4 linked regions of the Solanum lycopersicum genome follow. The protein of the gene in region 1 binds, or shares a complex with, the protein of each later gene. Links are inferred from orthologs where the notes say so. Each region holds a gene or a part of one and is shown on either strand. Other genes may lie near its edges.

Evidence for each region. Proteins that work in one complex are often made in the same cells at the same time.
Region 2: protein TIC 40, chloroplastic (region 1) and protein TIC 20-II, chloroplastic share a complex: the UniProt entries of both Arabidopsis thaliana proteins name them as parts of the tic complex. The link is inferred for Solanum lycopersicum from reciprocal best matches to the Arabidopsis thaliana genes TIC40 and Tic20-II.
Region 3: protein TIC 40, chloroplastic (region 1) and protein TIC 22, chloroplastic share a complex: the UniProt entries of both Arabidopsis thaliana proteins name them as parts of the tic complex. The link is inferred for Solanum lycopersicum from reciprocal best matches to the Arabidopsis thaliana genes TIC40 and Tic22-IV.
Region 4: protein TIC 40, chloroplastic (region 1) and protein TIC110, chloroplastic share a complex: the UniProt entries of both Arabidopsis thaliana proteins name them as parts of the tic complex. The link is inferred for Solanum lycopersicum from reciprocal best matches to the Arabidopsis thaliana genes TIC40 and TIC110.

The regions. Positions count from the first base shown.
Region 1 is NC_090810.1:11,553,123-11,559,536, reverse strand, and holds the start of protein TIC 40, chloroplastic, read left to right. Parts: upstream 1-2,616; 5' UTR 2,617-2,812; coding exon 2,813-3,008; intron 3,009-6,414. UniProt on the Arabidopsis thaliana protein: Involved in protein precursor import into chloroplasts. Part of the motor complex consisting of a co-chaperone (TIC40) and a chaperone (HSP93) associated with the import channel (TIC110).
Region 2 is NC_090810.1:3,714,322-3,719,210, forward strand, and holds protein TIC 20-II, chloroplastic, read right to left. Parts: upstream 2,787-4,889; 5' UTR 2,750-2,786; coding exon 2,135-2,749; 3' UTR 2,062-2,134; downstream 1-2,061. Other genes in the region: pentatricopeptide repeat-containing protein At4g39952, mitochondrial, read left to right, coding at 1-1,369; membrane-associated protein VIPP1, chloroplastic, read right to left, coding at 4,224-4,343. UniProt on the Arabidopsis thaliana protein: May be involved in protein precursor import into chloroplasts. Not redundant with TIC20-I, TIC20-IV or TIC20-V.
Region 3 is NC_090803.1:65,446,335-65,452,931, reverse strand, and holds the start of protein TIC 22, chloroplastic, read left to right. Parts: upstream 1-2,236; 5' UTR 2,237-2,349; coding exon 2,350-2,787; intron 2,788-3,169; coding exon 3,170-3,232; intron 3,233-4,238; coding exon 4,239-4,313; intron 4,314-4,831; coding exon 4,832-4,882; intron 4,883-5,071; coding exon 5,072-5,131; intron 5,132-5,239; coding exon 5,240-5,305; intron 5,306-5,995; coding exon 5,996-6,031; intron 6,032-6,590; coding exon 6,591-6,597. UniProt on the Arabidopsis thaliana protein: Involved in protein precursor import into chloroplasts. Imported into the intermembrane space via the Toc translocon. May be involved in the import pathway used by proteins without a cleavable N-terminal pre-sequence.
Region 4 is NC_090808.1:26,784,431-26,790,812, forward strand, and holds the start of protein TIC110, chloroplastic, read left to right. Parts: upstream 1-2,021; 5' UTR 2,022-2,165; coding exon 2,166-2,671; intron 2,672-2,889; coding exon 2,890-2,949; intron 2,950-3,609; coding exon 3,610-3,733; intron 3,734-3,867; coding exon 3,868-3,936; intron 3,937-4,033; coding exon 4,034-4,132; intron 4,133-4,344; coding exon 4,345-4,411; intron 4,412-5,072; coding exon 5,073-5,137; intron 5,138-5,320; coding exon 5,321-5,415; intron 5,416-5,597; coding exon 5,598-5,725; intron 5,726-5,905; coding exon 5,906-6,006; intron 6,007-6,382. UniProt on the Arabidopsis thaliana protein: Involved in protein precursor import into chloroplasts. Forms a voltage-dependent cation-selective channel at the inner envelope of chloroplasts, which specifically responds to a transit peptide.

The DNA of each region.
Region 1 (6,414 bases):
AGATTTCAGAACGTGGCCCAAAATCTAATAAATTTTCATTTTTTTTTAATTCCAACCTTTAATAATTCAAAACATTGATTAACAAAAAGAAGAAAAAAAATTTCTCCCCCAACCCTCCACAGGAACCCACCTGCATACATTTCTTCTTTCTTCCCCTAACGACTGTCATGCCAACACCTCATGCTGCAACAAAAAAGAATGAAAAAAGAAAATCCTCCCCACTCATTTAATTATTTGCACTTTCTTCATTTTCTTCATCTGTTGTCACCCACTATTTTATGTTTCTATGAAGAGATTGATTTTTTCTTTTTATAATAAATTATAAGCTATGGAAATTAGACTAAACACAAATAATGAAATAAATTATGAAGCATGATAAATTAATATTGTGATTATTGTAATTTTTGTGAAAAATTAGTTGATTTTGATAAATTATTTTGAAATGGATGATGAAGAGAAATCGTGAAGATTTAACATGAATTATATCAAATTTTCTTATATTATTTTATAACTTTAATGGCTAGTGATGTTTGTTGACCGAAATGATCCGAAATAAAGATGGACGGAGGTTGCCTTTATAACTTCGATGTCTGATTTTTTCTCATTCTTATAAATTCGATTAACACTTAGCAAATTCAATTTTTTTTCATATAAAGAGCGAAAAATAAAAATGAAGAACCACAACACAGTTTAAAATGATTAAAATGGGGTGAAGAAAACAATTGTTGACATAACCTCCAGGGGTGGTGGTGGGGGTGAGTTTTTTTTCTTTTTGAGTATTATAAGACAATAGTTTGAATAAAAGTTTATTTTTAGTTATTTTAATTAATGTAATGCCAAGTGTCATTAGAAGGAAAAAAGTTACAAGTTTATTATTAATAAAAAAAAGTATGTAAAGAAGTTTGAGACTTCCTCACGCGCTTCGGTGTAGTGAGATGCACTTATTTTGCCACATCAGCATAAAGTGTTCAATAGACACATGTTTTGAATTATTTAGGGCATCTCCAACCCAAACATCAAATTTGGTTCAACTCCATCCACTGCACCAAATAATATTTTTTCTCTCTTTATTATTATTGTATTATTTCTTATTTCATTTATACTTTTTCTTTCTAAAAAATTCGCTACATATAATTTATGTTATTTTCTTTCATAATTGTTTAGTATAAAATTATTTTGTATTATAATTTTTTAAAGGGAAAATGCACAAGTATCCCCTCAATCTATGCCCAAATTTTCAGAAACACACTTATACTATACTAAGATCTTATTACCTTTGAACTTATTTTATAAGTAATTTTCTACCCCTTTTTAGCCTACGTGGCACTAACTTGAAAAAAAAAGTCAACCAACGCTGGATCCACAAGATAGTGCCACGTAGGTCGAAAAGGGGTAGAAAATTATTTATAAAAAGTTCGGGGGAGGGAGGGGGATAATAGGACCTTAGTGTAGTATAAGCGTGTCTCTGAGATTTCGGGCATATGTTGAGGGGGTACTTGTGCACTTATTCCTTTTTTAAACAATATAAATTGCTAGCAAATATTATACATTATACATAATAATGGATAATACAAATAAAAGTGAAAACATTAATGAAATACAATTAAATAAATATTACACAATTAAAAAAATATATTAAAATTCTACATAAATATTCAACTTTCAAGATCGCTTCGGTGTTCCCATAAATGCTCTATTAATACATTACATAGTTCCAAATGAACCATAGAGTTTTGAAATTTAAAGAATTTAAAGAAGAAAATTTATATTAATGGAGTGGATGGTATTGCTGATCCAAATGTTCGTGAATTTGTTCGACAATAACAAAGTCGAATAATGAAAAAAAGAAGTCAACAGTTTCAGCAGTGCAACCACAACCACAATAATTTTCGACTCCATACAATTTATATTTTAATATTATTGATGGATTCAAAAAAAATCTATCAGATTATTAAGTTATTATATACTTTTAAAATTACAATTTATTTTATATTTCAATTTTGATGTATGTCAATTACTACATCATTGAATGTTTATTTTTTTTTGCTATTTTTAAGTACAATATTATTTGTTTAAAAAGTTATATGTTTGTATTTTTAATTTTTGTGAAAATTAATTATAGTTTATATAATTTATAGTAGAATTAACATAAATTTAATTTTTTAGAAAAAAGTTATATAGAAAAGTTAATTTAAAAAAGTAAATTTTATATCTAAAATTTATATTATAAAAATATTACATAAAAAATAATTAAATATAAAAGATATTTAATTAAAATATACAATTTATATAATGTTAATTAAAAATTTGCATAATGAAATAATATTATAATATTCAAAAAGTGAATTTTTATGATGAATAGTGTTACAATATTATTCCACACACCAAATTTGTTGTAGAAATTGGAATAAGTTGAAGCTCAAAATATTAAATTTTACATCAAATATTTAATATTGAATTAAAAATAGTATTAATTATTCAATAGATACAAATCATAGTTAAAATATATAAATGAATTTTTATGTAGACAATTTTAAAAAATTGCAAATGACTTAAGTCAAAAATAAAATATACGTGTAAGTAACACAAATTAGATGGACATTTTACTGAATCTGTGAAAGCTGCTGCGAAACCTATCCATATAACCCGCTCCATTTTCAATTCACAACACTCTTCTCCAGCCGATATCACACTTACACCTCTCTTCTTTGTTGCAAAATAAGCGAAAAGGAGATATCATTTTTGCAGTTCTGATCTTCTTCTTCTGTAATAAGGCGAAGTATCAGCTAAAAATTGAGTATTTTTCAAGGTGATGGAGAACGTAGGTATAGTTTCTTCACCTAAAATGGTATTGGGTCTCTCTTCAAACTCAGTAATTTCAAGCAAACCCTTCTTTGGCCTTCCTCATCTACCCAAAAGACCCTTCAAGAATGGAAGAATTGTCAGACCCACAACTTGTTTTGAAGTGGTTTCTTGTTTTCAGGGTCCAAGGCTCACTAAAAAGATTGGTACTTTCAACTCTTTTATCTACTGCTCAATGTCTTTTTATCTTAAATGTATTCTGTATTTTATTTGAAGTTTCAATTCCTCTTAAAGTAGATTTTATTACCCATAATTAGCTGTTTTTGAAGATAATTTTCGAAATTGTGGTGTTGTGTGCTATTTTTTTTTGTTTATTTAGTAGTTGGAAAGTGCAGTTTTGATTTCCCTTCATTTAAAAATGAATCTTTTATTGAATGCTATGTTACTCTTAAACTTGATTGCATATTATATTAGAAATTATTCATTATGGGTAGTTATTTTTGAAGAGAATTTCTGAATTATGGTTACTAGAGTTGTTTCAAATTCTGTTGGTTGTGTGAAGTGCTCCTTATTCTTATTCTCTATCCCTTGGTCTCCTCTTTGTATGTGTATTGTGTTTATCTGGTTCATCACAGAAAGAGTAGATCTGTTCATTTGCATTATATTTCTTAGAGTTGTTTCTAGATATATTTAGTTGTTAGGGGGTGCACTAGGCTGAGTTTTGATCATGTTAAATTTGCTGTTTCTACTTTCAATAGGACTAGAAACATTTTTTTCTTTCTTAATTTGTTTAAAGCTTGGCTGCATCTCAAACAGGAGTTCAATATTAACAGAAGTTACCTTTTGAGAGAAATATTTGAAATTTCAGTCCTAAAAATGTTTCTTGATTTATTTGCATGTTGGTAGGCATAAATGCCAATTTGTTCATACTAAAATAAGTGAATTGGTGTCTGTGTGGAATAGTTTAAAGTGCGAGTTGTTTCTACGAGGACTGTGACATTCTGCTAGTTAACTCTTGCTTGTGCATATGTTTTGTATTTGGTTGGATAGGACACTTTGTCGATATTGTTTTCTATTTGTAAAACAAGTATACTGCTGTGAACTTTGATGTGAAGAACAGTGGGACGGATAAACTTAATGATAATTCTTTTTGTCTAGTTGCTAATGGATATTAAGTCAGTTCAGTATTTTGTATAGGATTTAGAAAGGCTGCTATGTTTGTGAGGTAACTGTATATGCTGATAGGTTACAAAAGTAAAAAAACTTTTGCAACATTTGACTATGTTAATGGGTAGATGGTAAAACTTACTACCCGAGCTAGAATCGTTATCAAATGCAAATCAAGTATCTTGCAAATGAAGGCTTTTGGTATTAATAGTTTAGATGGTGTCATCTGATAAATGAGTTGTGAATGCCATCAAGAACATGGTGACTGATTTGAAGGTATCTATTGATGAGGTTAATGTGGGTTCTTCCGTAAATGGTACCCCGTACCGGGTTAAAGATATGAATGTATCAAAAAATCACATGTATGCTAATATAATTCATTTTACTGTAAATATTACATAAATATCTCTATGATGCCAGCTTTTGAATTCATTTCAGAATTGAAAGATCTTAAATTTTACAGGCTCCATCTAAAAATAAAAAACTGTTACATGCTGATTTAGTGATTTATAAGGCAAGTAGGACTGGAAACAGAGAAGGAAAATATAGAATAACTGGCTTATAGATGAATTGGCTATATTTCATGAAATTCTCTGCAGCACACCTAAATACTCAAAATTGCACTGCTATGGAAGCTTAATATAGTGGCCTAAAGCTCAAATAGTTTACTAAGAAGAACAATACATAAATATTTTTTTCTTGTTTGATAACTGAGAGATCCCTGCTAATGGTGCACTGTTTGAAACTTGGTGGATAATGGAGTGCCCACCCTTCTCCACTTAAATACCAGGCTTTTGTTGTTTGGATCCATTAGTGCGCCTTACCTAAACATCACAAGTTTTGCTCTCACTACTAGACCAAAGGCCTGGGGATAAAACAATGCATAAATATAAATCTAAAGCTACCAAAAATATGCTACAAGTAAAAAATCTCTAGGATGAAAGATTTTCCCACATCCGGTTGTGTCTGCATCATCCTGCTCTTAATTGATGAAAATCAGTCTCGAGTTTTCTGTTGTTGCCGACGGGTAGTAATATACCCCAACGGAATCCTGCCTATAGGTGCTTATATATTGGGAGGCATGCAACAACAGAGCCAAAAGTCCATTTAGTGCACTTTATGTAGGTATTCATATGCCCTTCACAATAAAGGAAAAAAAGAAAAGGAGAGAGAGCCTAAAATATAGAAGTGTTATCTAAAATATTACAAGCAGAGCATATTTTTGTTGACTAGTAACTATAGTTAAGGGCTCAAAGTGGTTAAGCATATCAAAAATCTAATATACCATTTATAAATGTTTAACTTGGAAATTGATTGTTTTAATTTGTTGAAGAATGATCCCAATATGTAGTATGTTTTTATGTTAGGAAAAAGTTACTAATGGCCTGATGCAGTTGTCAGCTCAAGTTTCTGGATAAGATATTGTTCCCAAAATATATTATAGGATAATGGTAGAGAAAAGATTTGCAGATTGGGGAATTTTGTATTTGTTTATCAAAAAAAGATATTTGTTAAAAGATGGAAGGAAGATCTTTGCGTTTTTAACAAGGCCTTGCTAAGGAAATTGCCGTGAAGATTTAGGATAAAGGAACATGTACTATGGAGAGGTGATATCAACATACATGGATGAATGAAGCAGCATGCTCGGGTAGACTTCAAGAGTTCTAGCTATCAATGGGGTGGGGTGTTGGAGAACAAGAAACATCACGAATCCTTTTAAGTATGCCCTCTTTGCAGGAAAATTATACAGGGAAAGGAAGAGTTATGCATCTCTTTGCGGGTGGGGGATGGATGAAAGGGTAGTTTTTTGCTGGACAGGAGGTGCGAATATAACATGTTAAGGATCACTTCTCCAAAATCTAGAGTTTTTTAACTTAAAAGAGATGATACTAGATCAAGTTCTAAGATCACATGATGTGCATGTTATTTGGGATCTCAAATTTATGAAGGAAATTTTGGGATTGGGACATAGTGGAGTTCCAAAGTCTATTGAAATACTCTACAAGCAAATTTACTGGTAGAGAGCCATGACAATTGGGTGTTAGATAGCAGGAGTCTATTTTTCAGTGAAAAGTTGCTACTGTAAGGTGCTAGCTAGAGCGAAGTTGGATTTCCCTCATCTGTTTGGACGTCTAGAGCTCTTGGAAAGGCTGTTTGTTTGCTTAGAGGATGCGAATTTGACAACCAAAAACTTGAAAAGAGGAGGATTACTTATGTTAGTTAATGCTTCATGTGTGAACCCTTGTGTAGGACATGGGATATCTCTTACTACAATGCTAGTTAGCATCTAAGTTTCTCATACTCTTCACTTTCGGTGCCGCACCCGTGTCGACACAATGTGGGTGTGGGTGTGGGTGTGTCTGGTCATCTAGTTTTGGGTACTTTGACCAAATTCAAGGGAGAAATTCAGGACAGATTCAATGGTTTATATAATCAAAACAAAAG
Region 2 (4,889 bases), about 7.8 Mb from region 1:
GAGAATGCTGGCTAGTGGGATTACCCCGGATGGGATGGTAATTAGTTGTGTGCTTTCTGGTTTAGGTAATGTCGCGATGATTTTGGAAGCTAAGACTTTCCATGGATTCATCTTGAGAAGAAACTACGATGAGGATCACATGGTTGGTAACGCATTACTGGCCATGTATTGCAAGCTTAGACTCTTGAATTTGGCAGAAAAGATATTTAATGGAGGGAATGAACAAAACACAGAGGCTTGGAACGTGATGACGATTGGCTATTGGAAGGCCGGATTAGAAGCCAACTGCATTGATTTATTCAGAGATATGCAATACTTGGGAATGGAATCTGATGTCAACAGCCTGATATCTGTGATTTCTTCTTGCTCTCGGTTGGAAAAATTCCGTTTAGGTGAATCTCTGCATTGTCATATTATAAAAAACCTGATGCTTGGAAATGTTTCTGTTGCCAATTCTCTAATAGATATGTATGGAAGAAGAAAGAATCTTACTTTATCATGGAGAGTCTTTTGTATGATGACCGATAAGGATGTTGTTACGTGGAACACAATGATGACTTCCTATATTAGTTGTGGAAACATTGCGGAGGCTTTTGGTCTTTTTGATGAGATGAGAGCAGAAAGTTACAAGCCTAATATTGCAACGCTGGTGATTTTGCTCTCCGCTTCTTCTCAAGTGTCTTCCCTGGAGAAAGGAGAGAAAGTTCATCAATACATCAAGGAAGTTGGGTTCGGAAATAATACTTTGCTTGATACTGCATTGACTGATATGTACGCAAAATGTGGACAGCTAACAAAGTCCAGAGAAATATTTGATTCAATGGAAAAGAAAGACATCGTTTCTTGGAACGTACTGATATCAGGCTATGCTATGTATGGAGAAGCAAATGATGCTATAGAAATGTTCAAAAACATGGAACAGACGGAAATTAAGCCGAATGAACTTACTTTTCTTGCTGTGCTCTCAGCGTGTGCTCATGCAGGGCTGGTTGAAGAAGGAAAGTCCATATTTAGTCGAATGAAAGATTATTCGTTGATGCCCACACTGAAGCACTATTCTTGTATGGTTGATCTTCTTGGTCGTTCTGGTAATCTGGATGACGCTGAAACTTTGGTTTTGTCCATGCCAATAGCTCGAGATGCAGCTATCTGGGGTTCTTTACTAAGTTCTTGTAAACTTCACAGTCAGGTTGAGAAGGGTATAAGAATCGCAAAACATGCTATTGAGTCTGATCCGGAAAATGATGGGTACTACATCTCAATCTCAGACCTATATAGTTGTGTAGGAATGTGGGAAGAGGTAGAAATGGTGAGGAAAATAATGAAAGACAGGAAAGTGAGGAAAGAAGTTGGCTGGAGTACTGTATAGTTTACGCAGCGACTTGTTGGGAGTCTATTAGCAACTCAAGTTATGGTAGTTCTAATGTGATGAAGATTTGGCGCGATTAAAGGTTTTACACTTGCAAGAGTCGTTCAATTAGAGCTCCCTAATTTGCTTCACCAGAAGAATGAATGATCCTATGGTTACATTGAGATGGTTTTCAGGTTATGAAGCCCTATCGTTTTTCTGGTCAATGATAGTATTCTGGTTTTGGCCTTGCATGATGAACAAAATGTAGTTTTATTATTCTTTGTTGAAGTTCAACCCTTTAACAATGTAACTTACGACAACAGAAACAACATAGTCAGCGTAATCCCACAAGTGGGATCTGAGGAGGACAATGTATGATATGCATGTAGACCAAACCTTGAAAAGTGTTGATATAAGCAAAGGAATTATATTCTCTATTCAACAAAAGCCATTGATATTCCTTAGAGATCGTTTGATAGCTGATAAAGAAACAATGTATTATTGAAAACCCATTATTACTAGTACATTTACGAGTTGTTCGGTGTGAAGTATAACGTGTAATGATTCCATTACAAAATCAAGATATTATTATTTATCCCAAGAAGTTACTTTATCAAGATTTGAACTTTACGAGCCCTTTCCATTGCATCTCTCATGGAGAAACATCTCATCGACGATTCGATTTAAAATATCATACATTAAAATTACAATTCTATGCAACAAAAACCTTCCTTTCATTAGAGAAAACCACAAAACAACATATTAAATAAATTTTAAAAAGAACTACATTTGCCTATTAGCAGCTTCAGTAACAAAAGGCAAATAAGGAGTTTTTCCAAGTATAGAAGAAACAAGCCCATAAATAAAACAGCCCACAACAAACACAAAAAGCCCATTATGCATCCAAACCGTAAATTTCAGCCCAATACCCGATTGACCCGGTGAAAATATCCTCTGAATCAACATCGGAAGCACCAGTAGAACGTCGAGCACCACCGCTTGCAGGGCGTTGAACCGGGGGTACTTGTTCAGATTCTCGTTCCGAACAATACCTAAGTAGAGTGCAAAGAAAGTGACAAAGCTAGCGTATGGGAGGGACCGGTAGAGTGATAGAAGAGGGAGAATTGGTTGAAATGGAAGAGCTAGGGTTGGGTATTGAGCGAAGAGGAAACGGCCGTATTGAAGGCCGTTGAAGAAGGGGAGAAAGTAAGCGACGGCGGAGATAAGGCGGTCGGTGGCGGGGATTGGGTTGTAAGAGGCGGAGATGGAAGTGGTGGGTTTGGTATGGATACGGGTTCGGGTTTGAATACGGGTTTGGAGTAAATTGAGGCTGAGAGGGTGGGGGAGAAGACGAGGGGTAGTAGTGGGAGTGAAACGGAGAAGAGGAATGGAAGCCATTTTTAGGGGAAATGTGAGGTTTTTTTTGGGTGTTTATAAAGATGGATTTTTGTTGTTTGAGGTACAAGTTGTAATGCATTATTTTGATTAAAAAATTAGAAAAAAAATAATTTCCGTTGCCGGGACTTGAACCCGGGTCTCTCGGGTGAGAGCCGAGTATCCTAACCAACTAGACTACAACGGATTATTGATTGATCAACGAGTAATTTTCAATATAGCTCGTTGTGCGTCGCCACCTCTCAAATATCATATAGGTTCAATTAAGATTGTGTGAAGTTCTTTGTCAGTTGGTTGTTATGTTATGTGTTGCCACCTCTCATCTGTACATTCGATTAAAGTTGTTGTGAAGTTCAGGATTAATCAATTGATTGTTGTGTGTTGCCATCTCTAACTTATCGTACACATTTAAGTTATAGTTGAGGTACATAGGGTCTTATCGTCTATCCGTTCAGTTAGGGCTACATATCGAACACTTCGGCTTTGAAGTTTATCGATTTGACTTATTAGTTATCGATTTGTAGATATGCTAAACGGTTGTAGAACCATTAAGATTAGCTTATCAGTTATTGATCGTTCGGTTCGATAATTTATTTAACCGTTAAGTTTGACAAAAAAACACATTGAAAATCACTTTAGAACAAGGTGGCAAACCAATTTAACCATGCACATGAATTCACAAGTTTCATCTTGCTCAAAAGCAAACACTTTTACATCGTAGAATAACCAAGTGTTTGAGACAATCAGAAACAAAAGTAGGAAACCAAACTCTAAATTAAGGACTTTATAAGCAAAATGATATGAATATAATTATTTAATTAACCATCGGATTATCAGTTATCCAGTTAAGAGATAACCTCAAAAGATAACCCGATAACAAAAAAAAAATCAAAGCCGTTCTCAAAACCGCTAAACCAATAACTTTTTTTCGATACGGAATATCGGTTCCGATCAATTTTGAACAACCCTACATTCGCTACACCGCATCTTTGCAGAGAACTCAGTTTCACTAAGTTCATGTCAAAGAGAAAGGGACCATCGCTACATTATTCCGAGTAGCTCATTATTTATGAGACAAAAATAAGATTTTGAGGAGGATGGTGTATACACAACCTTGCCCGTACCTTGCGAAGAAAGTTTGAAGCATGTCGTCACAAAATGAGAGCAAAAACAACACTGTGGAAATTCCAAATCTACTACAATGCAACTTGAAGTGACTATTCTCACATGAAAACATTTGGGTGGCAGTATACAAAACTGTAGTCAGGACTAGCTTACACTATATTGCCATAATGTAGGTCAATAATTTGAAAAAAGATATATCAACATATCTCAATATACTTTTTCCAGTTTCACTTCCTATATTCGCTGGCCTTTATCGATGAGGCAACTTCTCGGAAGATCCAAAAGCCACAATCTTTGAGTAACAAATGCCTGAAGGAAGATGTTTTGTAGTGTGAAAGATCGACTGTGATCTCTAGAAGTCATTTGCCCGCCTCCTTAACTCGTTCAATTCTTTTTCAATCTCTGAATCTTGAAATTGTAATGGCGAGCTTGATCTGGTAACTGGTGTTCTCCCCGGTGGAAGATCCCCTTTCTGCTTAGTCAATAAAAGGAAAACATTAAACCAAAATACCTCAGCTCTACATCAACAATAAAGCAGATTATGTTGTTTCTTTTCCTGATAGTTGAGAAAATTCTCCGCGGGCCAATTGAGGCACGGCTTGTGATGTGCCCCTAGCTCACACATTACGTACTACGCTCTTACCACTGGACCAAAGCCTTGGCGGTGGGGGGGGGGGGGGGCACAATAGAGCTAATTATGCGTCCTCAAGTACCTCCCGCACCCTCTCAAGTTGACCAAATATGCACGCTAATTTTCGGTTTTTTCCAAGTAAAAAATAAGAGATTTGCCAAAGCAAGGAAGCAACAAGCAACATGACCTATAATCATCATAGGTACGTAAAATGTCATGTTAGACTTTCTTTCTTTTAAGGTTGTTCGGACTTCCTTTCTTAATTCGTCGTTGAAGGACACCTTCAAGTTCTTATGAACATCCAAACCAAGCTGCTTTTATGGATAATACAATTTCATGGCTACACAATTAACTTAGCCATAAGTGTGTACAATGGAAAGAAGCAAC
Region 3 (6,597 bases), on another chromosome or scaffold:
CATAATTATACTTTGGACAACCAAACAGTACCCATGTACTTACATTATGATATATAACAAACGAATATATCATCCTTTGGAGGTGTTTAAAATGATTTAAAAGAGTTTAAGCGTTAAGTTGGTAAAGACATGAGTTGACAATCCGAGTCAAGTATAAAAATCTCACAGTATGTGAATACTTTTTAGAAAAGATCCAAAGAAAATTGAAAAAACTTAAAAATATGAAAACACCTCGAGGTTGTAAAATTTGATTGTTATTGATTTAGTTTGTATTTGAAAATTTTGAATCAATTTAGACTATGTACATGAGCTCTATATATGCAAACCTATGTACTAAGGGGTCGTTTGGTTGGAAGACAAGTTATGGTACAATTAGATATATTAGGAGTACGAAAAATTAATGAATTGAATAATTTTGCACAATACATAAATATGTCCTTTAATTTGGCTTCAAATCACATTTATGTCTTTCAACTTTGGGTGTGCACAAGTAGACACTTAAACTTATATAAAGTTGAACAAATAGACACACATGTCCTACATGTCATTTTTTGTCCAACGTGGTGTCCTACATGTATTTTGCCATGTAGGACTCATGTGTTTTAAAAAAATTTGATAGTTAAAGTGTATGTTTGTGCATAATGAAAGTTGAAGGTCAAAGTTAAAATTTGAAGCCAAGTTTAGAATCCAATGTATGTATTATGCCAATAATATTTAAAGAATAATTTGTTTGTTTACAAAAATACCCTCCATCATTTAAAATAGAAAATAGTTTGAAGAACATCTATTATTCCACTCTCGAAATAACTTTTCATGATACTATTAATTATTATTATTCTTGCTATTATAATCAAATAATGGATAAGAATAATTAAACGATCTCTAATGATCGTTTTGGTAGTTGGTTAGAGTTATGCATTGATATCTATTAGTAATGTAGTGATTATTTATGAATTAGTCGATCCATTATTTTATGCAGATATGAGTTATTCGTGTATTAGTTATCCATAAGACATACATTAGATTATTAGAATTAATTATTCCACTTTCTATTATGCATTAAATAATAAATAGATTTCATCATAAGTTATACATGTATTAATTGTGCAGATTTCTTAACTGTCAACTAAACATTGTATTAATTTTGTACATGTATAATTTATTTTCTATGATTTTATCCACCTACTAAACATGTATAAGTTGTACAAAAATTAATATGAGTAACTTGTTTCTCATCCAGCTTCCAATCACTTATATACATGTAATTATTTTCATTATTTGTGTCTATGTAAACATAATTTGACATGAGATTGAAGTCTCAGTCTAATAGTTACAAGTAACAACTTTAACTTGCATGTAAATGCCAAGTCTAAAAACAATATGCGTACGAATATATGTTTTTCAGGTCATTAGAAACTTTTTATGTACTATCGAACAATAATTTGGTGAATATAAAATGGAGGTTATTTGAGTTAATAAGCTTTGATTATTTTTTTATTGTTGCATCTTTGTGGTTTATACTAGGTCTTACTCCAACTAAATAACTTATGAAACAATGCAGATAAGAAATTAATTGTGTCAACTTTGTACTATACAAGTTACATGAAAATTAATTGAGAAGTCATCCCTATATTTAATTACTTTATGGAGAATCGAAAAGGATCAAATTTGTTTTTGAACTATGCAATTAAAACAAATTTGTCATTCATTACTATGAAGGTCAAATATGTCCTTGTCGTTACTAAAATGGGCTAAATTTGCCCTCGTTACCCCTCCTATTCTATTTTACAAGCACGTAGTAATAAACAAAGATCTCAAAAGTTTATTTTTTAATGAAAAAACACCACACTTGGCTTCAAGTTGCTTGATCTTGCATTTGATGTTTGTGAACAAAACGACCAGATATGTTCAAATTTGACCTCAATTGGCAAGTTAACACTTTAACTTTGAGTATGCACATCTAGATACTTCGACTCATCTTTAGCGTCCAGCTTTGTAAGTAATCATCTAGACACCTCTAAAATTTACATGTCACATCAGCATCAAGTGTCCACGGAAAATAGAGGGGTTGTTAGTTGAGATCAAATTGAGTTCAATAGATATTTTTACTTAATAGTTGAGATCAAGTTTGAGTGTGCCTATTTATATCTTATGCCGATATTCTTTATATAATATTTGTATATAAACTAGACAAACGAGACTATTATATATTGTGATTTGTGATGGATGGGCCTTTAGTAGATGGATTAGTAATAATAATAATTGGACCTAATGTGAACCGAAAGCCCAAACTTGAAATACGAAAGCCTTCTTCTCCGAATCCTCTTCCCCTTTCTCTGTAAACAATCAATGGAGTCCAAACCCTCAAGCGGATTCGGACCCTCCAGTAGTCCTCTACTGTCTCTCTCCACCTTCGTCCACCAGCACTGCTCCCGACTCGGTGCTGAACTCGCTAACCGATTCGACGAAGCGAAACGGCTGAGTTCTAAAATCGCCGCCGATTTTATGCAGCAGCCGCTGCCAGCGGCGATAGGGAGGAGTTGTTCGTTGCCGTTGCATTCTTATCATCTATCTCTTCCGTTCGCTTCGGTGTCGCAGCGTCAAGAGAAGGTCGCTAAAAATACCGGTTTGAGCTCGGATTATGTTGCTAAGACATTAACTGGAACTTCTGTATACACAGTTAGCAATTCTAACAATGAATTCGTGCTCATTTCGGACCCGAATAGTGCGAAGTCAATCGGATTATTGTGCTTCCGTCAAGAGGACGCCGAGGCATTTCTTGCTCAGGTGAACTTCATTTTTTAAAATGAATTTATCGAATTTTTTCTCTATAGAAGAGAGTGAAAGGAGAGATGAACTCCTTTATCAAAGTAGGGTAGCAGGAAGGGGAAAAGATATGTATAAATTAGCCCAAAAGAGAAAACTAAGTTAAAGATGATTGCTTTAAAAGAAATTATTGGGTAATTATCATTGGAACATTGCCTTCAAAGGTCAAATTATTTATTTTTGGGATGTATTGAACCTGAATATAGTGGAATTGATACATAAGATAGCAGATACAGAAGACATAATGTGGACCTTATTAGTTTGCAATTGAGGCGTTGTTATAGAAGTTTTGATATACATGGAAGGCTTGTTTGTGGAGAAATGAACACGTGAAGATTTTCAGGTACGGTTGCGGAAGAAGGAAGTGAGAGGTGGAGCTAAGGTAGTTCCGTTGACACTTGATCAGGTGAATTTTTGTTTCCTTTTGCTAGGAATTTTTCTTTTAAGGATGTATCTGCTTTGGTGATTATTTTCTTCTTTCCTTTTAAAAGTTTGTACATTCATTTGAAAAGAATTGCAAACTTTAGGAGTGACATTAGATTACTCTATGGAGAAGGCCATTTTCTTGTTTTAAGGATTGAACTTTAGCAAAATTTTAGTACCATGAAAGTGTCTGGTAATAGATATGGTATTTGTGATGGACAGTTTTGTCTCTAGTGCTTATCAAGATTGGTTGGTGGAAAGTCAGAAGCTACTGATGATCGACTTGTGTGTATATGTACAATCTATTTCTTTGCATATATTGATAACTTCTTCTTGCAAGAATGGGTATAAACTTTGATGGTTATTGAATCGTCCCTTATTAGTTAAAGAAGTGTTGGATTCAAATACAGCAGAATGGAGATACCGATCCTAACTTGTTTAGATTGACACATAGTTGATTGATTGAATCAAAACAGAGCATGCATGGTATTTAGCATAAGCAATGGAGTCTTTTCAAACGCACCCCTTGAGATAAGGCTCGATTAGATTACCTGACCATCTCAGGTTAAGATTAATTTACTGAGCCATTTTCCTTTACCATTCCTTTTAGTGATTTCTTCTCTTTTACATCATTAAGATAAATTGTATGCATTATTGATACATTTTGTATCTCTTGTTCATCCATAAAAAAGGGGATCCTATCGTGCTCCTTTTGAGCCTCAGACGTCTGATCTGTCCCGTTTAATATATCTTCTTCTGCTATTAAATTAAAAAGAAAAAATTGAAGCTTAACTTAAGAATGAAAGACATTTTTGTCTCTATTTAACAGGTCCAGTGTACATTAAATAATCTACTGCAACTAGTTGCAGTTGTCTGTATGTGCAAGAATTTCTGTTTTTTGCTTTTCCATTTCTTCCTAAAGGTGTTGCCAGGCACTTGTCCCGTATTTTGAATAGTTACACGTCTTTCTTGTTGGTATCACTTTGCAGGTTTACATGTTGAAGGTTGAAGGAATCGCATTTCGTTTTTTGCCAGATCCTGTTCAAATTAAGAATGCAATGGAGGTAGTTACCCATGTTGGTCATCCTTAAGTTTTGTGTCTGGGATCCTTGTAATTTCCACTGAATGTAGTAGAATTGCACAAGGACGCCTGTTCAGTTGTGCAAGTGAAAGTTATACTGTATATGTATATTCATCTACCTGTGATAGTTTTACGTGAAAGTACACTGGCATGTAGCTTTAACTAATGACCAGATTCCAGAGGTGGTAGAATTGCTTGCAACCCATCAATTTTTGAGGTCCACTGACATACCCTTGTTTTTTCTTCTCTTTACTGTTAATTCAAATATTTCCAAAATGGAGGTCTTTTCGAGATTTGAACTTGGGTTACTGACATGCCTGGTATGTAGGCTCTTGCTCACTAGTCTAGTAAATGAAGCATAGATTATTAATGGCTTGACCTCCATTGCCACCCAACTTCTGTCTCCTCCTCCTGGAAATATCTATTTGGCTAAACATAATATTTCAATGCATGCTTATTAAAAAAATCTGTTCATCTCAACATTGTCTTTTCCTGTGACAGTTAAAAGCTTCTGATGTAAAGACTGGATTTGATGGAGTCCCTGTTTTCCAGGTAGCATATAAACTTTTTTGCCAACTGTATGCAAAAAAACTCTAACATTACATGCTCAGCCTGTGTATTTTTTGAATTATGAGCCTTCACTCACTGGAAAGCTTTTGCTAAATATTTTGTATATCAGAGAGTGGACTGCTGAATATGGTTAAACTCCGCTTAATTCTGTAGCTTTTTGTTCTTGTGCAGTCAGATCTCCTAGTTGTGAAAAAGAGAAACAGACGATACTGTCCAATATACTTTCGAAAGGTATGTTGGTTTTTAATATCTTGAACTGGAACTAGTCAGAAGAAACAAAAAATTAGATATAGTTATTATTCGTGATGGTTTTCATTGAATTCCTTTTCGGGTATACAGGAGGATATAGAAAAGGAGTTATCATCAAGGGCATTGAGAGGATCTAGTGTCTCTCAGCACATTATGGTATCATAATCACTTTTATCTTTCTGTTTTCTTTCTGATAGGGCGTGCAAATAGATTAAGAATGGTCAAACATGCTAAGAGGTGAATATATGATGTCTCTGAGAACTTACTTTTAGTAAGTGTTTTGGAGTAAATTTCATTCGCATTGATCTCTCTTTTATCAAGTGTAACATTGTCTGAATGCGTAGAGGATTTAAAAAATTGAATTTACGTGCTACAGGTTTCACTTGGAGAGCCTAACATTGTAAATTTTGCATGTAATGGAGAGGATTAATGGTTGAAAGTTTTTACTTGAAAAATATAGCCGAGTCTCCTTAGTCAATTATCATGTTAATGTAAAATCTCTTACTTCAATTACAAGAAGGAAACAGAGTTAAGAACCCTGAAAGAGGTTTGATGTATGTTAAGGACATTAATGCTTTGCTGTTTAAAATCTTTTGTATGTAAAAAATCACCTTGCCAATCCTCTTACAGTCAGTATCTTTTTTGTAAGTTATCAAAAGAAAAGTGTTTCTTTTCCATTCCAAAGATTCCTATCGGACTATCATAGGGGCTTGCTTGTCCATGAAAATACAAGGTTTACTGGCTTTTCTGTATCCGTCAAGATTTTTTGTCATCTGACCCGTCATTGTAACAAGAGACTATATCGGCTAACGTTAACTTGCTAGTATTCTTTTTCTTTATTTACAGGTAGGGACTTTGGAAGATGTCCTGAAAAAAATGGAGGTAGGTGCTTCCTGCTTGGAAATTTTATATGTGAATTTTAGAAGTTGAATTATACTTTGAATTCTTCGTTTCATGCATCAATAAATCGGTTATCGCACGACACGTTGTAAAGATGAATCAATTACATCTTGGTCCGGAACATGTTGAGGGACTGATACCATGAGTACTCATTTCAGAGGAAGTAACATAATGAGTAAACCATAAGCCAAAGAAATTAATACTTATCTACGAGCTTTTACCCATTACCCTTTTTTCCCGAAGGGATGAGGGAAAATACTAAAAACTTGCACCAGCAGATCACACTGTCAAAAGATGTTTGCCCATCTTTAAATGGTTCGTTACTGGAAAATTGAAAGGAAGAAGTGAGAAATTAAAACACAAAGGCAATGCTGAAATGAAAAATTAAAAGGGATGTAGCTTATCCCCAAATTTGAATTTCAAACGGCGTAGAAAAAGTGATTTCTGAGATAGCATCTAAAAGCTTTTCTATTCTATCCTTTGTTTAAGCAGAGAAATCTCTCGGTTACTACTCTAAACTTCTCTCTGTTTCCGGTGGCAGATAAGTC
Region 4 (6,382 bases), on another chromosome or scaffold:
TACCCCTAGACCCTCCAAACTTAAGATTTCTCCTTTTTAAGTTCGATAAAGACTCATCCGGGTAAATCTTCATATTCGGGAGCCCTACATGTCTGGACCCAATCTTTCCTAGCTCAACTAAATCCCCAATTTATTTGTCTTGTCTGTTGCAAGGGTTCAGAGGCCTGGTTCTACGCGCATCAATCCGTGTGAATCCGATCTAATCGTAGAAATTCTAGACACATTATGCATTACTTATCTTATACATTTTTAGGGTTGTTACAGTATAAATAGCCAAATGATACATAGAGTTTCGTTTTGAGTTCCAAAAGTTCTCTTTGGAAAATAAGGTTGAGAGTTTGAGAACACTTTACCTTTAAAGAACACTTTTCTAGTTTTGGAGGTTTTACAACTTGGTGCTTAATGTTGATAAATTGAAGTTGAACCTAAAGTGAGTTTACTCTTAATTGCTTAATTTCAAGTTATCCATGACTGCTTTCATGGAATGCATACATTCTTTATATTTTGTGATGATTGGTCAAAACCCCAAGATCTAGGAGTGCTCAAATGGAGTTGAGTGTTGATTTAATGTGCAGAGTATTGTTTTATGCTCTGTTTTGTTGTTGTTCATACAAGAATTTGATCTAATTACCATAGGTTTAACTTGAAGGTTAAGGCTGCAAACTTAATTCCTACATCTGATCTCTGGTTGATGCTCGAAAGAGATTGAAGTGGGTAATTAGTTTAATACTAGCAATTTAGGTTTGATGTTTGTAACTTGCTTGAAAAAAGGTTATGAGTTGGATCTATTTCTTTGTTCTTGAAAGAAAGAATAGAGTAGGGTATTGAGTTGTTTAAATTGACATTTAGATGAGTCCGAAAGAAGATTCTATGCATAGATGCTTTGAGATCAAAGATAATTAACGTCAATGAAGATGACTTAGCATATTCATGAATTTTCATCTCTATAAAGCAGCACAATCACCCATTCCAATCCCCGCATCCCTACATTGCTTGTTAACTCTTGGATTCATCTATATTTTAGTTCAATTTCAATAATTGATAACCTAAGCTTTATATTAAGTTGATTGTATTATCCACCCTATTGTTCTTACTATTACAAATGTGTTAAATTAAACTCCAAATTTCTTGATAAGGAATTCTCCACTATATATCATTCCATGTGGGATTCTATCCGTACTTTTCGCTAAGTTTTACTGATAGTGATTTGAGCGTTATCAGTCAACTGCTGCTACTATTGATTAGTGACTCTTCATAGTTCGAGGGCTAGGTCATCACTGGCTTTATCGTTTCTAATCTTTTCAATTTTTAGATATTATTCGTGGCGTAGAAGTTCATGTTCTAGTCACATTATGATTAATAGAGGACTTGTCAAACATAGACAATGTTCCATGTATTCCCTTATGTACTATGTTGGTATCTTTTATGCCATTGGTAGATTTACAACTTATATTGATTATATCTTTTGGATTGTCTTTATTATGTCATACTCATGTCAAGTAGTTTAATTTGTTTATAGCCTCTTGGTGTTTCATTCGCCATGTCGCGCCTAGGGATACTTTGCATCGTGACAATTTTATTTATTTTCTTGATTTTTCTTTTATATGTGTACTCATAATTTTATTTAATTAAATTAGCTTATAAATTTAATTTATTTAGAAAGAGTTGTTTGTTACTAAATAAATTCAATACAAGTCAATGCAATATTTAAAAATGTTAGTTGTTTAACATTTACTAATTGAAAAAACAAATATATCATCACATGACATTTTTGATCTTAGTTGTATGTATTATTTGTTGATATATATATTTTCTTATTATTTTGTTGATTAATTTATAAAACTACATACATATAACGAGTTTTTGGCCAAAAACATATTTTTATGTGTAAACTACTTTGGTTTATACAATTTTAATATCGTTTATCGATTTACAAATATAACAATTCATTGGTGTTGAAATGCGGCAAATGACAAATAATATTATGTTGACCCAATTACAAGATAATAAACCTATGTTATTCCAAAAAAACAAACAAACCTTTATTATTCAACTTGTACCCCCTCAGACCCCTATCCTCTTCTTCTTCTTCCTAGTTCCAAACTCCGGACGACTTGGTTAAACCCTACTTGAACATCAACTAGTTATTAGAAGAGGTAGTAGATATGAACCCATCATCACTTCTCCTCCCTATCAATCAACCTCCTCCTGTCAACACTTTCCGCTCTCAATTTCTCAATCCTACACCTCTCCGTCTTACCCCTAAATTCTACCTAAAACGCCGCATTCAGTCCACCGTCATTTCATCTTCATCTGCCTCTCTTCAGCACAAACCTACTTCCGTCAACCCAGATGTCTTTGGAGGTAAAAAGGAACTTTCTCCTATTCAATCCCTTGTTGATGCCATGTCACCCCCCATAAGAATAGCCAGCTCCGCTTTGATATTTGCTGCTGCTATTGCTGCTGGATACGGTCTTGGTCTTCGTTTTGGTGGATCCCGGAATGCTGGGCTTGGTGGTGCTATTGCTTTTGGTGCTGCTGGTGCCGGCGCTGCTTATGCATTGAATTCTTGCGCTCCTCAAGTTGCTGCTATTAATTTGCATAACTATGTCGCTGATTTTGACAACCCTGCTGCCTTGAACAAGGAAGATATTGAATCAATTGCCAATAAGTTTGTCCACTATGCACATTTGGCTTTTTTTTTTTTAAAAAAAAAATATATATATGTGTTATCAGTGACTAATTAAATTAGATACCAAGTGTGAGCAAGTTATTCTCTACTGCAGAATCTTGGACTATTTAGCTACATTATGAGCTCTCACACCCAACTTTCTCATACTTATTTTTCTACGTCTTTTCCTTACCAATTTACTGCTTTTTATCTTTAAGGTATGGTGTCAGCAAACAGAATGAGGCATTCAATGCGGAGCTGCGAGATATATATTGCCGGTGAGTGCAAAATCAAGTACTGATTTCTTAAAAACTCTTACGGCTGACACGAAACTTGCATTTATTACAATTTTTCAATGTTATATGATAATCTCTTTTTTTTCATTTTTGGTTTCTTCTCCCTGACTCTCGAATGACAAATTTTTCTTTTTATGAATTGCTTGCTTGGATATAAATAACTAAATTTTACCCTTTGAAGCACTTTGTAGGATAAAGTATGGCTTTTGCACTTTGTAGAATAAATTTATTGTTCTTCCATTCCCAAGATGTGTCCCAAAGTGTGTCAAGTTTTGCAAATCAAAAAAAGAAGGAAAATACTGTCACCTTTCTGGAATTACAACTTCTTCCACATACTTTTCTAGTTTTCTATAATATTTTAGTTCTTTATGACCCAGAAAGTGTCAAATTTTCTAACCTTGTCTTGACATATTGACCCAGTTACATTTGAATGGAAAACTGTCCATCCTGTTGTGATACTTGTCTTGGACACCTAAAGGGAATCAAGCATAGTGTTTCTCTGATCCATTTATAATGTTTATCTTGAAATTTGAATGTTTTTGACTATTTTATCTACCAATGACAAGGAATGACTAACTTGGTAGTTTAAACATTGTCAGCTTATCTACCGTCACATATGCATCCAATTTTGTTTGTGTTCAGGTATATATCTGCTGTCCTTCCTGCTAGTACTGAAGAACTTAGAGGCGATGAAGTTGATACAATAATCAAATTTAAAAATGCATTGGGAATTGATGATCCAGATGCAGCAGATATGCATATGGAGGTAACTTGAAGTATCCATCTGATTCTGTACCTAAGAGTTGTAAAACTTCTAGCTGTGGTTGGCTCAAAGTTAAAATGTTATGTTATCAAATAATTTACCAAGTATTAAGAAACTCTTACATGTTGATCTCTCAGATTGGTAGGCGAATCTTCAGGCAAAGACTTGAAACGGGAGATCGTGATGGAGATATGGAGCAACGTCGGGTGGGTCATCTCTTCAAAAAGCTTCAGTTTCCAAAGACTACTGCCTTAAGTTATCGAATAACAACAAATGGAACTTGATCATTTTTGACTTCTCCAGGCATTTCAGAAGTTGATATATGTCTCAACTCTTGTATTTGGAGAATCATCTGCTTTCCTTTTACCTTGGAAACGTGTTTTCAAGGTTACTGATGCCCAGGTAGCGGATTATTTATCACTCTCTCCCTCTTTGTGGAGTATTCAGATTGTGCAGTGGCATGTCCTGCTTGTGTGGTTTTAACATTTCTGTATTTTGATTTGAGGTTCCTGTCATTTGTCTCTTTCCCTGCCCCCTTCATTTATGTAATATTAGATTTCTATATAGTGCGACCCCCTGTGTCCTTTTACTCGTTTTAACATTTTTGCCATTAGGTTGATGTTGCTGTCAGGGACAATGCACAACGGTTGTATGCCTCCAAGCTTAAGTCTGTTGGGCGAGGTAAGTTTTCTCTATTGATGCCTTTGAAGGCACTTTTACTTCTAACGTAACCTATTCATAGGAAACCATTTTACTAGTTTTCTTTTGCATACCTAATTAAACTAATGCTCTTCCAAACTACTTGTCGATATTCTTGGGTATGTTTTCTAAAATTTTCGATCTCTATTAAACTGATTCTAATAAATCTGTATATGTGCTTAAATTTGGCTTTTTTGTGGTATGTGGTGCTTAATCCTGAACAAAGATGAATCATACCATGAGGCTCCACATATGTGGCATGGGTTTAGTATGTTCTATTCATGCACTGAGTAGAGACTTTTTTGAAGTCTTTCTGTCGCTTCAAATTTCTTTGCATTTTAGTGATATATCCTATTGGTTTATGGGTTTTGAGAGCCTTCTGACGATAGCTCTTGAATCTGGACATCTCGTTATTGCTTAGAGTAGAGGGAGTCTTTGTATGATTCCACCAATCTTATATGGAAAATGCTAATTCTTTCATTATCTTCACGAACTCCACTCTTAGTAGCATCTACCTTGAAATTCTATGTTATGGACTTGTGGCGGTGTCAGGGTGATATCACTTGTTTCTTTTCATGATTTAATTCCTGCACTGCACTTCAGTGGTTTTGCATGGTTAATTTAATTACTTTACCTGTTCCAGATATTGATGTGAACCAGCTGATCAGTTTGAGAGAAGCACAGCTTGCATATCGATTGTCCGATGAGGTAGTGCCTAAAAAAATTATCATAATTCTGCTTCATATCCCTGTAGAAATACCTTTTTCTCCTCGAAAAAGGAGATAAGATTGCTATGAATTTGTTGCACAATATTCATGATTGAATTTACTTTGTCCATGTATTCTGTCATCAAATATATGCACAATCATGTCCATTTCTTTCTGTTTGCAGCTTGCACATGAGATGCTTAAGGAGCATGCAAGAAAGCTTGTTGAGGAAATCATATCAACTGCTGTTGGCATATTGAAGTCAAGGACAAGAGCAACGTAAGGTCTTTTAAGTATATTTAACCTCTTAAAAGGGAACTTCCATTTTACTGGATAAATTTTTTACCAAGCAATTCTAGTTAATAGAAATGGGACTGCTCCTATAATTTCTAGCAAGACAGAATGTATCATATTCTTTGCTTGTATCATTTGTTTAATTCAAACTGATTGGGTTTGTTTAGCAGGGAACCCACGCGTGTCATTGAGGAACTTGATAAGGTATTGTCATATAATAATTTGCTAATCTCATTGAAGAACCATGCTGATGCTAGTCGCTTTGCTCCTGGCATTGGGCCAGTTTCCTTAGTAGGTATGTACGTCGATGATCTTGTCTGACTCTTTTTATAGAACTTGTTAGAAGTTGCGGGTTTCTATCAAGTCTCAAGTGAAATCCTTTCATGGAGCTCTTTCTTTCAGCTGTTTTTATCTCAGTTTTTTAGCTGAAGTTAGTTTTCCCTTTTCTTCATTCTTTTTCTTCCTGCTCCTTCAGGAGGGGAGTATGATGGTGATAGGAAGATGGATGACCTAAAACTTCTTTACAGAGCATATGTTACAGATTCTTTGTCAAGTGGTCGGATGGAAGAAGACAAGGTAGGTGGTTTTAATTTCTCTCTGCTTCATTTCTTCTGCTTTTTCAGGTTTTTTGGAATTATTATTTTCTACTTGTTTGCCAAAATGGCCGGAAAATTTGAATCTCTCGTGCATTTGTCAAACTAAAGTTATGTTAAACATATATATGAATGGACTGGAAGTTAAAGGAACATACTCCTTTTCTCTTATCCTGCTTCAATATGTTATTCTGGTATGGTAGGACAATAATGGGTATACTAGTAGATTTGTTTGCCAATGGAAAATGGCTTGTGCCCACCCACTTTTGTCGATAACTGGACAGGAGTAGACACATATTCTTTTCTCTTTTCCAGCTGTTCTGTGGTTGAAATGCTGATATAGAAAGCCAGGATGTCCC